Bombyx mori: one gene and its partners. The protein of the gene in region 1 binds, or shares a complex with, the protein of each later gene. Links are inferred from orthologs where the notes say so. Each region holds a gene or a part of one and is shown in the gene's direction. Other genes may lie near its edges.

Region 1 (6,114 bases):
TAGAACAGTGCAACAGTACCGAGTGTATGGATGTGGAGTGAGTCGATCCATTTGGACGAGTTTAGGGCATAGACAGTGAGTCTGAAGAGTGTGAATGCGGTACCTACAATACTTTTTCATTCCTACTTTACTGGCTATAGAAAGTAAAGACAACTCATAAACAGCTAATATTGACTAAAAAGGCGACTAGTTAATGACCGTAAATATCTTGAAATTTGAAACAAGAAAGCTGATCGACCACTTTTTGGTGGGAACGCAAGAATCGCAGTGTAAATTGTATAATTTACATTTAGTGTTTCTTCAGCTTTGAACATGCTATAATGGTGGCTTATTTAACGTTTAACATCAGTGAAAGCGTAAAATTGTGAGTGCAAAAAAGGCCATTTAATTCTCAATAAATTTCAACCATTTTATTGGAACGTCATTTCTTTTGCTATAGTTTTTACAAAGTCGACACTGGCAGCAATAGCAATATTCAGGAAAAGAATAGACTTTTTGGCGGGAACGCGAGGAGTGAGGTTGTGTGATCTTTTATTTTGTCTATTTTGTTTTTCCTCAGGTTTAAATGTGTAATAACGGTGGTTTATTAACTGTTTAATGTCTGTGAAAGTGCACAAATGTGGGAAAATGAAACAAAGCCGCTGAACGTAACTTCTCAGGATCCTCCAAAAAGTCCACTGAAAAAGTCTCAGTAAGTAATTGATCACGATTTTACTGAGATTATATGACATCCCATATCATCTCATCTCATTTCATTTAATTTCATCCCAGTTGATTAATGTGTCAAATTAACCACCTCCATTTCATTTCATTTCACTTCATATTATAATTTTTCGTAAAAATATGAATATAAATTAAAATAAGACATGACTTAAAGGTCTTAGATACCAGGTCATAAAATCCCTTAAAAAAAAGGAAAAGAATATTAATTAAATAAAGATCAAATTTCGTACGTATAGCAAGCAGGTTTTGATTATTCGATGGACGATTCGATATTTTGTGGGAAACGATATCAAAACAAATTTTCACTACCACCCATTTCTTTAATTTTCACTTCTTTAGTAGTCACTCATAGTGGTTGGAATGTTTATGATATTAAAACAGGTCTCCCGATAAGTCTAAATACTCATCTAAGAAGCTAGTTAATTTTTTTCCTAAAATTAAATTATTACGGATTTTTCGAGCGTGAGAAAATTGCTTATGAGTTTTAATGTAAACTTGCAATTTGCAACACAAGGAAGGAAGTTTATTAGGCCACGATCTGATCATTTTACTCTTTTAGGTGTAAAACAAAAAGGTATCCAAAAGATTCAATTTCTAATTTTGAATAACAATTTATTGCTTGACATTATTATCGTACAATAACATGACCTAATAAAAATAGCGATTGCCCGTCCCGTTCTCGTAAATTCGTCAAATGCGACGAAGATTTCTGAGTTTCTCGCGAGGTATTTTCAGTGTGTCGTGATTCCGACCCCGTGGCAGATTCAGGGAAACACTGCTCTTGTTAGGGCAGATTTCAGGAAAATTTGAGTGACCCGTGAGCTCAAGGTGAAGTCAGAACAGCCCCTCGAGGCTACTGGCAGATATGTAGGCAAATCAAATTAGTAACGATTGTTTCTGTTTGGTAAAAACGTACGTGACACACAAGATTTCAATAAAAAAAGTGTGTGTGTCCGCTCCGACGCACGACTGGAGTTTACTGGATATAAAAAATTAAACGAAACAATACGAGAAATAGTTCTATATTACGACAACACGATACACTACAGATTATTAACAAATTAACGAGACACAAAACAAACGACTAACAAATATATGAAAATACAATAATGAGAGAAACGCGCGATCAGTACGAGGCTTTGTGGCGGACTGCCGGCGCAGCAGCCCGGCGTCACCTGCGATAACGCGGCCGCGCGTTGGCTCCTGATTGGCGCGCGCACGCATCACGCAATCAGGAGCCAATCAGGCGCATAACGCATTTCGTGTGACATGCTAGTACGATTTTGGTCCCCATAATTTTCATACCCCGGGCCTATATATGTAAATCGATTCTAAAGGAGTAAACTCCAAAAAATTATTGTTTTTAACAGTTTTTTTTTATTATAAATATATTACTTTGCAAATTAATGGTACAAATATGTATACAGGTACCTAATTATTATTTGATTAATTTTGAATCACTCTTGCAGGAAATAGGTTTTGGTAGGTACATACGTACAAATTAAAACTAATCACTAATCAGGAAACGAAGAATCTATTAGTGTAAAACATGGCAACATTGAAATGTTCGCTTGTTTGAGCTTGAAAGAAAATTGCAAGTGAATTGTAATGAAGTGTTCTTAGATTTTGAATTTTAATTATAAAACAAAAGAGCATTAGCAGTACCGTATAGTTAAGTTTATGAATAGTGATAGAAAATATTTTTCTAGACATACCTATAAGGTAAACATTTGAGTTTTCTGTTAAACTACTTTCATTTTATCGTCAAAGTGTCGCACGCACAAATTTTATCAAAATGACTTCTGCTCTTTATTTGGAGCATTATTTGGACAGTCTACAGCACTTGCCGATTGAACTGCAAAGAAACTTCAAGTTGATGAGAGATTTGGATGACCGCGCTCACGGGTTAATGAGAACCATTGACCTTATGGCCGATGAGTTGCTTCCAAGTATTCCAAAAATGGATGAAGAAACAAAAAAAGAAAAGGTGAACACTATTCAAGGATTATTCAATAAAGCTAAAGAGTATGGAGACGATAAAGTGCAACTTGCAATTCAGACCTACGAATTAGTAGACAAGCATATACGTAGACTTGATTCTGACCTCGCGCGTTTTGAGTCTGAAATACAAGAGAAAGTAATGAGTGCTCGTGCAGCTCAACAGGCTGCTGCAGATCAGGAAACAAATCCGGCCACAGCTAAAAAAGGTAGGAAAAAGCATAAAGGTACTGAGAAAGCAGCTGCTACGACTGGTAAAAAGAAGCGTGCCGGGGCCTCCAGTGAAGAAGACGCTGTCGCATCCGGAAGGTCAGCTGCGAAGAAGAAAGTTCAGCGTAAAGGTACCACCACCACAACAAATGTTACAAAAGAACAGGAAGAGACTGCCGATTTGGATTCAGTGGCCGGCATGGCACACCCCAGTGATGTGCTAGACATGCCGGTGGATCCTAATGAACCAACATACTGTCTGTGTCATCAAGTTTCATATGGTGAAATGATTGGTTGTGATAACCCAGATTGCCCAATTGAGTGGTTCCATTTTGCTTGTGTTGATCTGAAAATTAAACCTAAGGGTAAATGGTACTGCCCTAAGTGCACTCAGGATAGAAAAAAGAAATGATCCACAGCTAAACCACCTTTGAAACCCACAGATAAGACTGTTACTCTAAAGAAAGAGGTGAAGTGACTTCCTATAAAAATTAAAATATAATAATAATATATAACTCCCAACCATATAAGGAATTGTGATTTTATTATTATTATAGTTATTGTAGTCTAATGAGTCCATACTGTTGTGTAAGTCATATGACATTAAATAAATCTTACTGCATTCATAAAGTGATACGTCATTAACACCTTACCAGTGACATTTTAATCACTTGAAACCAAAAGGTAGATCTTTTAAAAACAATAGATTTGTTTTGTTATGTGTGATAGTAGGACTCATGACTGTACTACTTGAAGCTGTAGTGCCAATAAATTAAATATAGATTATTGCAGAATCTGAAATATTACATTAATATTGCATAATATATTCTCAAATTATAAAGGCATTAAATACATCTTAAAATGCATCATTAATACATTGTTTACTGAAAACAATTTCTATTATTTTATAGAAATGAAAACATGACAATAAATTAACACCATTTTACAATTTATACAGCTATCAAGTAATTGTTGAAATAATTTGTTAAACACAAATAAACAAATGTACATATATTTCATTGAATTTATTTTCAAAATATTGTATAAATTTGGATTTAAGTACCTACGTGGTGTCTTAAATAAAATTAAAAAATTATAATTGAATGCAAAATTTATAGTATTTACCTATATATGTATGTCATCTGAAAGCTATCTAATAAACAAGATCAATTCCAGTTTGATACTGAGATAATTTGACAGGTGCAAGAAATAACGTTTTGTAACTCAGTTTTAGCTAAACGTGATATACAATCCATGCGTTTGTTGAATTGTATAAAGGGCTTTTTAAAAAACAGATTAGATTTTGACAAAACATAAAGCCCCATTACAGAATTAAATATTTTCAGCTGTAATAATTAAGTTCTGAAAGTAAAGTTTCATGTTCTTAAAGCTTTTGAATATGAAAGATTGGTGTGCAGTTGCATATTAAGTTATATGTATTGCTAGTATTGATCATGGCTAAGCACAATTGTATTAAGATTATTTTAGTTTAATAAGATTAAAAACCAAATAATTGTGTTAGCTATATCACATTATTGAAATGGAGAAAAGGAGATAAGGATTTTATTAAAATCAATTTGAGCTTTTACAATTTTTCATCTCTTTTGACTTCTTTCTGCCCTAATATGATTTATAAAATAATCTTTTGTGAAAATGCATCGGAAATTAGTTTTGTAAAAGAGACAAATTTATATTTCAAAATTGGTTAAAGTATGCACGCAAATTGGGAACATTTCATTACACTCTCGCACGTCCCTCCTATATTAATAGTGCCAGGCATTTTACGTTCACCCTCATTACTGTAATCATAAAAAAAGGGCTTGGTTCAAAGTCTTTCTTTCATCATAGTCTGTTGCTCTTGGCAGAGCGGTCGTGATCATGTGGAATTCTTTCTTTAACCAGATTGAAATTAATTTATTTTTTATTTTTCTAACAGTAAATTTTGATATATGTAGATAGTGAAATTAAATATTGAAACAAGTTATGGCAGTCAATTGAAGCAAATTTATACTGAATATAATGTAATAAGTACATATTGTAATTAGAATTTTTTGAACTGTACATTGTAGTAGATTTTGTATGTATTAGCTAGAAATGTAGAGTTTTTTAAATATTAAATGTTTGTTATTATATGCTTCCAGTTTCGTTGTTTTAAATCGTTCAGTAGAATTTTTGATTGTATTTCATTATTTAAATGTGCTCAATTTGTTTTATCACTTGTTTTTAATCAAATAGCTAACTCAATAAGTTGAATGTAGACATTCAGTAAATGTAGTACCAATAAATGATTTTGAAAAGATTGTAAAATATAATCAAATAATTTACATGATTAAATTTTATTTTAAAATAATATGTTAATTATCATTGAACCTGTTTATTTATGAGTATGTTCCTTTAACGCAGGCCGCTTGGTGCCGGCGGGCTAGAATAGCACCATCCATCTGTTCGAGTCTTTCTCTAGTCGTAACAATCCCCGTTCCACTGGGTCTAGAAAGATAAGGACGAGTATGTGCACCTGTATCTCTTGCACACGCTTGTGCACGTTAATATATCCTGCGCAACTGACCGCTTTGGACTCTGATTTCAGATTAGTCCTACGGCGATGGGTGAAAGGAGAGAGGCTTGACGTGATGCAGGTTGGGCTTTGTCTGACATCTACACGTAGGTGTCCCTGCGGGTGTAATATTGCTTGCGTGGTCGCTTTTGTTCTGCATTGGGGTGATAGAGCGGATTCGGCAACACCCGGGGTGACAAAGCAGCCCTATTCAGGGAGGCACTGCTTTCCTCGCTCAGCCGGAGAGGGGGCTAGAAAAGGTGTCCTAAACAAATGCTCACTCTAACCCTTATGGAGGGTAGCAACCGCGGCAGCCTTCGCATCTAAAATTCGCGGTTGAAGCCATAGGAAAAATAATGTTAGTAAATCAACGTCACTGACGTTTGGCGCGTGGAATGTGCGTAGACTCCTTGACCGTGAGGTAAGTTCCTGTCCCGAACGCAAGACTGCCATTGTAGCTCGGGAGGTTCATCGCCATAATATTGATGTGGCTGCACTCAGCAAAACACATCTTCCAGAAGAAAGGGAGCTGGTAGAGCACAGTGGCGGGTATACTTTCTTCTGGAAAGGACTTCAAGTACAAACACAAACACACAACAGGCGCTTCCTCAGAGCCACGAAGGTCAGGA
Region 2 (5,482 bases), on another chromosome or scaffold:
CACCAGGTGGGCTGTGAACTCATCCAACCATCTAAGCAATAAATAAAAAATTAATAAACTTATCTATGCAAAAAAAGGCATTATAGTTTAAATATTTCTTTATAGGTGCCATACATACCTGAGGGACAGTGGCTCTGCAGGCGGTGCTTGCAGTCACCATCCCGCCTTGTCAACTGTGTATTATGTCCCAATACTGGAGGTTTGTGTTAAGTAAAATTTTGTAGCCGAGTATTATTTAATATCAATACAATACAGTCTCTAATGCAGTAAACAACAATATCAAATAAAAAAAAAAGTGTTATTTTTGATATCTCCGTATGACTTGTCAATTTAGTTAACACATAGTTCATGATTCAACCATAGACAGAAATAGATTAATGTCTTAAAATTATTGTAGAACTAGGTCATTTATGAAGCACATTTAATGCTTGTAGTTTCACTACCTAGATATAATGAAGACAGCTGATAGGAGTTCACAGCTGTGAGAACATTTTACTTGTGTTCAATTGTCTGTCAGTCAAACCGGTGTTGCACAGATAATATAAAGTTATTCAACACTTGCAATACACCCTGTACATATAGTAATGTTCATTTAAATCATTCTATGTTTAGAGATTTTATTTCATTCCATAATCATATTGCAGGAGCATTCAAACAAACAGATCAGGGAACTTGGGCTCATGTTGTGTGTGCATTGTGGATACCGGAAGTGCGATTTGCTAATACAGTCTTTCTGGAACCAATTGGTGAGTGTGAAAATACATTTGGATAACTTTTTATAAAATTCATTCTATAGTATAATTTTTACAAATAACTATGTTATGAATTGTGGAAAAAAATACCAATGAATACCAAATTACTATATTTTTAGGATGTGAATTAGGGTAATGAGGGAAATTTATAAAAATCTCTGAAAGTCTAAAGCACGAAATTTAATCTAATCTATGAAAAACATTTTATTATACAAGTAACATATTTATTATTTATACAGCTTATTATATTATTATTATCAAAAATTATTTAATAAAATAAAAATTACAAATGGTTGCAAATAGTCATTATCTTTTTGCTTCCTTGAACTGGAATAAGACTGTTCTGTACCATTATAACTGATAAGAATATGTTATAGTCAATCGTAATTTGAAATGTTTAATTTGATAAGTCGTTCTCATAGTCATTCAACCTTATAGGTCACCTCAGTGATAAAAAATATTCAGTCTCTATCTACTAGCTTAATTATAAAATACTTCCTAATTATGAATTTATGATACTAAGTATTGTAAGCTTAAAGACCCACCTAATCGTTGGTAGCCTTCGTGGCTATTCCAAGCATGCATAGTCGGGTTGGTTCACGGGGCTGAATCTGGAAGGATTTGCTAACACTACCTAAGATAGATGACAGTCACATCAAGTGTAATGATACAGAGCTAGACCTCTCTGATATTGGGTTGTTGTCGGGTTTTATGACTATGTTTTGATAACTTTGTTAAAATACTGACACCGGTAACAAGATTATTAACTACGTATTATATCACAGATTCAATTGAAATGATCCCGGCGGCTCGTTGGAAGTTACAATGTATGGTTTGCAAGCAGAGGGGAGTTGGCTCTTGCATACAGTGTCATAAGAGTAACTGTTATTCAGCTTTTCATGTGACTTGTGCACAACAAGCTGGGTAAGTACCGGTACTAGAATTGAATACAAATTCATTTTTCAAATAAACTACGTTTATTGCGAGACAAGAGCTAGTCCCTAATGTGAATTAAAAAAAAGATAACTATATTATGGTTCGATTTATCTAGTATAATCTATTACTGGAGTCCATAGACAACATAATGTAAATGTTTCTACATATCTTGATATGAGATCAAAGTAATTTTTTTTCCTTTTTTTATTGCTTATATGGACGAGCTCATGGCTTACCTGGTGTTAAGCGGTTACCGGAGCCCATAGACATCAATAACGTATGCCGCTACTCACCTTAAGACATGACTTCTAAGTCTCAGTGTTACAGTACAATGGCTGTCTCAGCCTTCAAACCGAAACACATTACTGCTTCATGGAATAAATTGGGATAACTTGGGCTATTTAGGTGGTGGTACCTACCCATATGGCCCCAGTGTATGCTCTAACACCAGTAATTACGCAAAATATATTTTTACGGGTTTTATTTATAATCCTCCTTGCGTTGTATTCCTCACTGCTGAGGGTCGTAACCACCCTTTTTTATTACCTCGCACACACGATCTTTCTCCATTTATTCTTGTCTCTGGTGGTGTGGAGGGCGTTGTGAAATGTGGAATCAAGAGCGGTGCGGATCTGGTCGGACCAACATATTGGGCTACGCCCCCGAGGTCTTTTCCCATCTACCTTACCGGTCACGATGAGCCTCTGGAGATTGCTACCATCCTTCCGTGCAATGTTTTATTTATTTATATTATACGATGATGTTATTCTTTCATCTTGGAAGTCGTTTGTGAACAACTGTTAATTACGTATTTAATTAGAAAAATTGGTACCGGGTCTGTGAGTTTCGAACATCGACACAGTCGCATCGTTCGATACGAATTCACAAGGCGCCTTAACCTTTAGGCCGTGATGACATCGCAAATGAAATTCATAAAAATGTCTCTAAAAACATCCCCAGACTTTATATGAAAATGGAAGCGGCCGGATCTGGCCGGGACCCAAGCCAGCCGGTTCAGGTAGCGAAAATGGCGTACTGCGACGCGCACACTCCGGCGCATGTCCTACAAGAGAGACGAGCCAGGGACTCGGACAACGATTCTAAATGCAACGACCTCAATGCAGTGAGACAGAAAGGACGGGATAAAATCAAACAGGTTCTTTTTATTTATTGTACTGGCTGTACCCGTCCGCTTCGCTGGGCATTTAAAATTAACATTATTATTTCTCACCCCCACAAAGATTCTCGATCATTAACGCCCCCGCAACCGATGTAGGGAGTCCAACACTCGTGTAAATATTAGCTTATCCATTAAGTACATGTATTTTCTACATGGATACTAAGTTTCAAGTCAATCGGATGTATGGTTCAATAGTTATAACGGAACATCCGTAAAAACCACTGTAGATTTATATATTAGTATAGATTTCTTATTGCTTAGATGGGTGGACGAGCTCACAGCCTACCTGGTGTTAAGCGGTTACTGGAGTCCATACATCTACAACGTAAATGCGCCACCCACCTTGAGATATAAGTTCTAAGATCTCAGTATAGTTACATCGGCTGCCCCACTCTTTAAGCCGAAACGGATTACTGCTTCACGGCAGAAATAAGCAGGGTGGTGGTACCTACCCGCGCGGACTCACAAAAGGTCCTAACCACTAGTAAAAAAATTATCATGTACATAATAACCAAGATTTCCTTCATTTATTTTACTTTCATTGACCGAATCCTCAATGACTTGAACCATTTGAATTGTATTTGCTTATTTTGCTTTTGCTTTGCTTGTATTGCTTGTATTGCTGCTTTTGCTTGTATTGCTTAGATGGGTGGACGAGCTCACAGCCCACCTGGTGTTAAGTGGTTACTGGAGCCCATAGACATCTACAACGTAAAATGCGCCACCAACCTTGAGATATAAGCTCTAAGGTCGCAGTATACTTGCAATGGCTGCCCCACCCTTCAAACCGAAACGCAATACTGCTCCAATAGAAATTCAGTAGAAATAGGCAGGGTGGTGGTACCTACCCGTGCGGACTCACAAGAGGTCCTACCATCAGTAAAAACTAATGTTTATAATTTTAACCGTAGGCACGTCGCGTGTTAGCAATGAAACGAACTTGGGCCCCGGTCGTGTTAGTACCGACTTTGCCGGCCGAGCGCGTGGCGGACGTGGCCCAGTTGGCCCAGGGTCCGCCCGCCGCCAGGGCCCAGCTCATGAAGCGACTCCTCGCTTACTGGACCCTGAAACGGCACAGCAGGAACGGTGTGCCGCTGTTGAGGAGACTGCAGAGCTTGACGACCAATCATGGTGAGTTTTCATATATTTATATATGTACTAGCTTTTACCCGCGACTTTGTCCGCGTGGAATAGCTCACAAATAATGCTTTATTTTAGAACAAATTTGGTTAGCATAAAAAACATTTTAGTCAGCCAACCTTAACATATAGACATAGGTATGCTATGGCGGACTTTTTTTAGACCTTTTTAAGGGGAACAATTCTGTCATACATTATTTTAGCAAAACTTTAACCTTTTCTGCAGCGCACGCGGCGGATACTTTCAAAAGGGAAAAAAACCCGATTTTGAAATATTCTTTATTGGTGCTCCGCTTGTATTGGTCTTAGCATGATGGTATATAGTCTATAGCCGTCCTCGATAAATGGGCTATCTAACACTGAAAGAATTTTTCAAATCGGACCAATAGTTCCTGAGATTAGCGCGTTCAAACAAACAAACTCTTCAGCTTTATAATATTAGTATAGACCAGCTAAACCACTTTACGCTTCGCTGTGGCTAGCTATGGATCTCTCAAGACTACTCTCGCGTTAGTTATAGTACCTTGAGACAATTGCAAAATTTTTCATCACAATCTTATGCTTTTGCAACCCAAAAAAGATAAACAAACCAATAAGATCAATAAACCTATGATCAATAAACCTATAAATACTTATATAGATTTATACCACGTTGTATTTCTTCAGTTTTTGAACCAATATGACTAGCCTATTTTTTTTTAAATTCTATTATTATTTACAGGCAGTAGAGGCATACAAGACGCAGCTGTCAATGTACGAGAGCTGTGTAATCAGTTGAAGTATTGGCAGAGAATACGACAAGATTTGGAACGCGCAAGGTGATTTTTAAGGGTTTTATTTTAACTTTTATTGGTTACATACATTTTCGAGAGCTTGACAATAATAATAATAAAAAAAAAATAACTAATTCAAATTATTTGAAGCGTTCGTATCGATTGATTCAAACATGACGGGACTAAAAATTTTTAATTAAGCAATAACAGCGTGGAATAAAAACCAAATCCGCCACGTCTGTTTTTGTGTGGTAGTGGTACCACTATTTCGTTGATTTTTATCGTGACACACCTATGCGTTCCGGATCGAATGGAGGCTGCGTTAACGTCTGAAATTCGGTTAACATCTCCATAATTGAAAACCAATAAACGGATGCAATCATTATAAAGATAAAAGATAAATTTAATATTCCCACAGAGGTATCATCAAAATCAATTCACCCAGTCAAAAGTTATGAGATAACAAACATAAAATAAAAAAAAACGTACAGTCAAATTGAGAACCTCCTTCTTTTTTGAAGTCGGCTAAAAATAAAACAAATCACACAATTTCACTCCTCGCGTTCCCGCCAAAAGTCCTTAGATAGATTGTCTATGTAACAGTAACATAGAGTCGGTAATGTTTTGCATAGATTGCTGTGTGAGCTGGTACGTAAACGCGAGCGTCTGAAGGCGGAGTACACCCGCGTGTGGGAGCGCTGC
Region 3 (5,998 bases), on another chromosome or scaffold:
GCCTTAGTCCACCACGCTGGCCTAGTGCTGGTTGGTGGATTACACACCTAAGAAAATCCTAAGAACATTTAGGTGTGCAGGTTTCATCACAATGTTTTCCTTCACTGTTAAAGTAAGTAAGTGATATTACACTGTGATAAATTTTCATTTTCACAAACTTCCTAGTACCTTATGTAATAGGAACTGAGATCCACTTGCCCATTTTGGCTACTTCCACTAACTAACTAACTATTCTCATTTTTTCTGATATTGTTATTTGATTAGGAGATCTGTGAGTGTAACTAATTATTGACAGTTACACCTACCTTGACTACAAGATGGCAAAGGTATAATAATACGACACATCTCATTTTTAGTCGTCTCTTCAATTTCCTTGATAATAGTGAGTCTTTGCCGTTTCACAAATGCAGGCCGAGGTTCACTATGATTGAATTTTCGTTTTCTATCTGCCCGACAATCGAATTTGGATGGTAAACAGTTTGGTTTCATTCGAATTCATTTGATGGAGCTCATTATCTTGTATTGCATATAATTCTCCATGTAGTTTTCCAGCTAAAACATGAAATAATTTTCCAACAATTTCAATACATAACCTATAAAAAAAATATTAAAATGTTATTTTACTAATGTTAGGAATATAATTTCGACTGTGTCAAAATGTTATTATAATGTATACCTACATTATCTCTTGAAAGATAAATAATGAACATATTTACTTATTTGTTTATATTACCTATGTGAACTCTTAACCTATCTTTTTTATACCTTCATAGCGATAGGTATATAGGAGGATGGAAAAAATGTATTTGGTCTAACTTTACGCGAATGCACATTATTTTATTTATTTTGTTTTTAATTTTTTTAATTAAACTGTATACCAATTAATTGATCCTTCAGGATTTATAATTGTTTTTTTTTCACGATTAAAACCGCGTAGAAAGTTTAGGCATTATAGTCACTGAGCAAGTAATCACTACGTTGACGCATGCGCCATAGATTATACACTTATGGCATGCGCAGTACACATATTTTGTATACATTTATTCAACTAATACAATTAATTAAACAAAAAATGAGTAATTTCGAAAGAGAACAAACGTATTTTATATAAGAACAATCGAAAATGAATATTTACGAGTAATTAAGGACGAAAAAATATTAAAAATTGCAATCGAGGGGCTAACTTTTAGATATATTTTTAATAATTTTTTTTAAATAAATAAATGGGGAACAAACAATTATTGACAATGAACAATCAAGAACAAATGATGAACAAACGAATTAATAGAAAATAAGTAGAAAACAGGAAAAAAAAATTTTTTTGAGGGGCTAACTTCATTCACCTCCATGGAGTACTTATTATATATCTACTTTTTTTTTATTTTATGACCTGGTAACAGAGACCTTTAGGTCATATCTTATTTGAAAAATGTGCATTACTTTGGGGTCACTACACTTCACTTCAATAAATTTTGTCATTTACATTATTTGAATTATATTTTTCATATAATTATAAATAGGTTTATCGGATGTTGGATCTTTTAGTAAAAAGTGGCGGCGGGCGAGAGGAAGAAACACATTTAATGCATTGGTATCCTCACTAGCCAGCACAAGTCTGAAATATGAAACTTTGGCAATCGAAAATAATGTGATGGATCGTCCCTTCCTTTGCTTGACAGTGTAAACATTGGTTGTTTGAAACAATGCCAAGTCCTGCTAGGTGTGACGGCGCAGTATTATGGCCAAAACTCAATCTGTTTATTGTTGTAATGAAATCTCGACTCTCACTAGTTTTCAATTTGTCATTCTTTTTGTATGGCAATTAACTTTATACGAAGCCTTTGTTTACAGTCTCGAAGTATTAAAAATCTTCAATCATTACATACTCTCATATAGATTCTGAAATTTGAAAAATGAAATGAAGCGAAATTAGATGAAGTTGATTTCTTTTAGACTTTAACCAATTGGGATGAAATCAAATGAAACCGGATGAAATAAAGTCACGGTAAAATGGAGGTTATTTACCGAGACTTTGTGAATTTTCTGGAAGAACCGAGAAGCTACGTTCAGCGGCTTTGTTTCATTTTTCCACATCTATGCACTTTCACAGATATTAAACAATTAATAAACCACCGTTATTACATATTTAAACCCAAAGAAACACTAAATAGACAAAATAAAACAAATCACACAACTTCACTTCCCGCCAAAAAGACGTTTAAGTAATACCGTACTTGTGTGCCTTTACACAGATATTTTTTCTCTTAGTTTTATCCTCGAAAAAGTCCACTAAAAAATCTCAGTGAACGACCACCATTTTACTGAGATTATATTTCATCCCATATCATCTCATCTCATTTCATTTAATTTCATCCCAGTTAATTAATGTCTCAAATCAATCAACTCCATTTTATTTTATTTCACTCCATATTATCATTTTTCATAAAAATAAGAATATAAATTAAAATAAGACATGATCTTAAGGTCTGAGTTACCAGGTCAGAAAATCCCATAAAAAAATTGAGTATACAAATTACAATAATCTGTGGAAGACAAGGCTTTATGTGCTTAGATCCCTTGCCTTTCTTAAAAGGAAAAATTGATTAAAATTGTATCAAAAAAATCTGTGGAATTTAAGGCAACAATTGCTAGAATAATAATTTGCGTTTTTGGAAATAAGTGGCACATTTCTGTTCAGAAAAAATACGCCTGTCTTAAGTGATCTGTTATGGAATTATAAAACACAAGTAACAACAATCATCAGCATGGTTATTTCACCACAAAGCCCCATTGATGACGCTCAAAGTGTGCAAACCAAAAGAACCAACATGGCTACTAAACAATCTTCAGTAGCCGATACTAGAGCTGAACTAGCTGAATTGGTCAAACGGAAAGCTGAAGTAGCTGTAAGTAGACATAATGACAGTCCTTTTGAGCATTTAATCTACCCTTCCTAATGAAAATGTTTACAGGAAACTTTAGCGAACTTGGAACGTCAGATTTATGCATTTGAGGGATCATATCTGGAAGATACTCAATTGTATGGAAATATAATTAGAGGATGGGATAGATACCTCACAACGAACAAAAGCACTAATTCCAAAGCTGACAAACGTAACAGAAAGTTCAAAGAAGCAGAAAGATTGTTTTCTAAATCTAGTATTACGTCTATGGCTGTAAGTTAATCTTTAAGTGAATTATTCTGTTTTATAACGTCTTAAAATACGATAACATAAATCCATTAAATTATTTCAGGCTGTTAGTGGACTTGTAGATGCTGCTGAAGCTAAAAGTAAGGATATTGAAACTGAAAATAATCAACTCACGACCGAAATATATTTTATTTTTTATAACAATTCCTTATTTCAGATGAAAGAAATAGTGAAACTGAATCGCAAACTAATGAAGACTCTTCAGACACACAGATTAGTTCAAATCTCAATCTTGGAGGTCTTAACCATACGACAATTCATGGTTCCACTGAAAGCATTGCTTCTAAGCCATCTGGGAAACAAAATACTAATGGAACATTAGATAAAACATTAACTAGTGCTCAAACAAAACAAACAGCTACACAAAAAATAGCTACTGCATCTGGCATGCTCCAGAAGGCATTTAGTAGTGAAAGTAAAATATTATCAGGAATGGGACTTGATAGTCGACCTGGCACACCAAAAGAAAAGGAATCTAATGTAAACATTATTAATAAAGTTGATTTAACACCAAACTCACTAAAACACAAAATGTCTAGTAGCGGAAGCAGTAGTAGCGGCAGCATCAAAAAGAACAACAAGAAAGCTAGGCACAGGTGAACATTATGCACTCTATCATGTTAATGGCAGATTTTAGTAGGTGCTAGTCTGAAGATTTATGCTGGGTGTAAGGAAACCATTCCCATACTGAAATATTAATATGATACAAATACAGTACATACATAAACATAGTGCAGATATTTAAACTTAATGCGAACAGTATATTGACTCTTCAAAAGCAAACGTGACTAAGCGACAATAACTGCTTTATACTTAAATGATAGGCAATAACCATATTCAATGCGCAAAAAAAAAATTACTTCTAGGTCTATTATAATCATTTCAATCATACAGCTAGATTTGTTAAAATATATTTTTTTTCAGGTATTTCAACTTTAAATTAGTCTACTGTAAAGTTCATGCATTGTCGCTTAGTCACGTTTGCCTTTCAAGTGTTGATATATTCTAATTCTGCATTAAAAATTCGAAAAAAACATAACTTTACCATTTGTCCCATATATCATTATTAAGTTATATATTATAAATGAGTCGTCTATTATCAAAGGCGGCAATCTGTACATTTGGACAAAATTTTTTTATTGATATGTCAATACAGATTTATTTGAATATAATCGTCTCCTTCAAAGAATACGGTTCAAAACCTGCATTAAATAAAGGTTAATAGTTAACCTGTTATTTATCTAAGATGTCGTTCCGAAGAGTTTTGTGACTGCCAATGGAATACAAAGTCAATAATTCGTTTTTCTGATTTACCAATCATTGTCCAAAAGTCAGATTGCCGCCTTTGATAATAGTCGACTCAAATGTCATTTAATGTTACTAAGAGCAATGTTGTAAAGTGTAATTTAATGTTTTTTGTAATAGTTCTCAACACTCCTTGTAGCAATGAAACAATATGTATTCTTTTTAACTAATGTTATTGTATAAAAATAAATAATGAATTGTTGATTTACATAAAAATATTGTGACCTAATTGATACCATTAACTGTTCTTAATATCCTTTGTTTGAATCTTGATTCTGAAATTATGTTTTGTTTGTATTAGTAAAATTATACCAAACAGGACATGATAAATAGATATTAAATGAGAAACTGATACATACGCTTTAAAATATTAGGTAAGTCCTTAATTGGTCCACAATATTTCACCATAATATAATACAAAACTGGTAAGCATGCAATAATTCCAGAACAACACAAAAATATTATTTCTGGAGACTTTCTCAATTTACAACAGTTTAGGCTTTTGCTCCATATTGATCTAGTTGCATTCATCTGAAATGATAAGGTAAATCATTATATTTTTAGTTTATTTTTTTGAAGTTGAGTCTTTATATGAGAAATCTCAGTATTCTCTATCAAATCTAATATTTTATTGCATAAATGTGTTAGCAAGCTCGTATTATAACCAGTAACAATAGATATCACAATGTGCACGCTGGCACCTGGCAAATGTGAGGCTTTTGTATTGTGATTGTATGATATAATTATTGTCCTATCCTTCCAAAACACAACACATTACTGCTCCTTGCCAGAAACAGGCACGGTGCTTGTAGTAGGCACTGTAGGTTTTGCATGTTCCCAAAAACTTTACCACTATTTATATTTCTTATTACTATTACTCCATCATAAAAAATGGAAATTGGCCTTTGATGTCAACTATGGCATAGTTTGTTGCATTCATGTGAGTAAATTGGCTGACAATAATTGGTGTTCATTATGACTTATATTTTATGTAAGAAAAAATATTATGCATTATAGACATCTATTTGCATTTGCAAGTAAATTAAAAGAATTACTTGATTACTTCATTGTTACAATTAGTGTACTTACAGAATCAATAACATCCATGCATATAATATCCAGCCCTATTCTGTCAAAACTAAGAGATTCATAATAGTTATTCAGCTGTATGTAGCTCTGCATACAGTTCTCACACACTTTTGTACTATTCTCTTTGGGATTTATATTGTCTTCAATACATTGCATTGTTTCATTAAAAATTTGATAAAAATGGTAAGTTTTATTTGAAATTTCTGGTTTATCTTTAGTCCAGTTAAAACAATCTAAAATGATAAAATAAACATAAACAGACATGTATCTCATGCATTGCATTTAAGGAACCTTACTAGATAGCTCTCACTCTACTTTTATTCAGATACTTATAAAAGAAATAAAAAACAAAAGCATTAAAAGTTTTCACCGGGTAACATAAAATAAGGAAA

The links.
Region 2: inhibitor of growth protein 5 (region 1) and peregrin share a complex: the UniProt entries of both Drosophila melanogaster proteins name them as parts of the enok complex. The link is inferred for Bombyx mori from reciprocal best matches to the Drosophila melanogaster genes Ing5 and Br140.
Region 3: inhibitor of growth protein 5 (region 1) and chromatin modification-related protein MEAF6 share a complex: the UniProt entries of both Drosophila melanogaster proteins name them as parts of the enok complex. The link is inferred for Bombyx mori from reciprocal best matches to the Drosophila melanogaster genes Ing5 and Eaf6.

The regions. Positions count from the first base shown.
Region 1 is NC_085109.1:3,386,016-3,392,129, forward strand, and holds inhibitor of growth protein 5, read left to right. Parts: upstream 1-2,268; 5' UTR 2,269-2,518; coding exon 2,519-3,343; 3' UTR 3,344-5,281; downstream 5,282-6,114. UniProt on the Drosophila melanogaster protein: Component of the Enok complex which has a histone H3 acetyltransferase activity.
Region 2 is NC_085122.1:5,173,017-5,178,498, reverse strand, and holds part of peregrin, read left to right. Parts: intron 1-105; coding exon 106-199; intron 200-644; coding exon 645-746; intron 747-1,537; coding exon 1,538-1,676; intron 1,677-2,648; coding exon 2,649-2,844; intron 2,845-3,779; coding exon 3,780-3,999; intron 4,000-4,728; coding exon 4,729-4,825; intron 4,826-5,412; coding exon 5,413-5,482. UniProt on the Drosophila melanogaster protein: Scaffold subunit of the histone acetyltransferase (HAT) Enok complex which has histone H3 acetyltransferase activity.
Region 3 is NC_085128.1:6,603,380-6,609,377, forward strand, and holds chromatin modification-related protein MEAF6, read left to right. Parts: upstream 1-2,567; 5' UTR 2,568-2,765; coding exon 2,766-2,906; intron 2,907-2,972; coding exon 2,973-3,176; intron 3,177-3,255; coding exon 3,256-3,292; intron 3,293-3,369; coding exon 3,370-3,812; 3' UTR 3,813-4,742; coding exon of another isoform or gene 4,743-4,792; 3' UTR 4,793-4,876; coding exon of another isoform or gene 4,877-5,048; 3' UTR 5,049-5,606; downstream 5,607-5,998. Other genes in the region: osteopetrosis-associated transmembrane protein 1, read right to left, coding at 4,743-4,792, 4,877-5,048, 5,607-5,839. UniProt on the Drosophila melanogaster protein: Component of the Enok complex which has a histone H3 acetyltransferase activity. Might be involved in transcriptional activation of selected genes.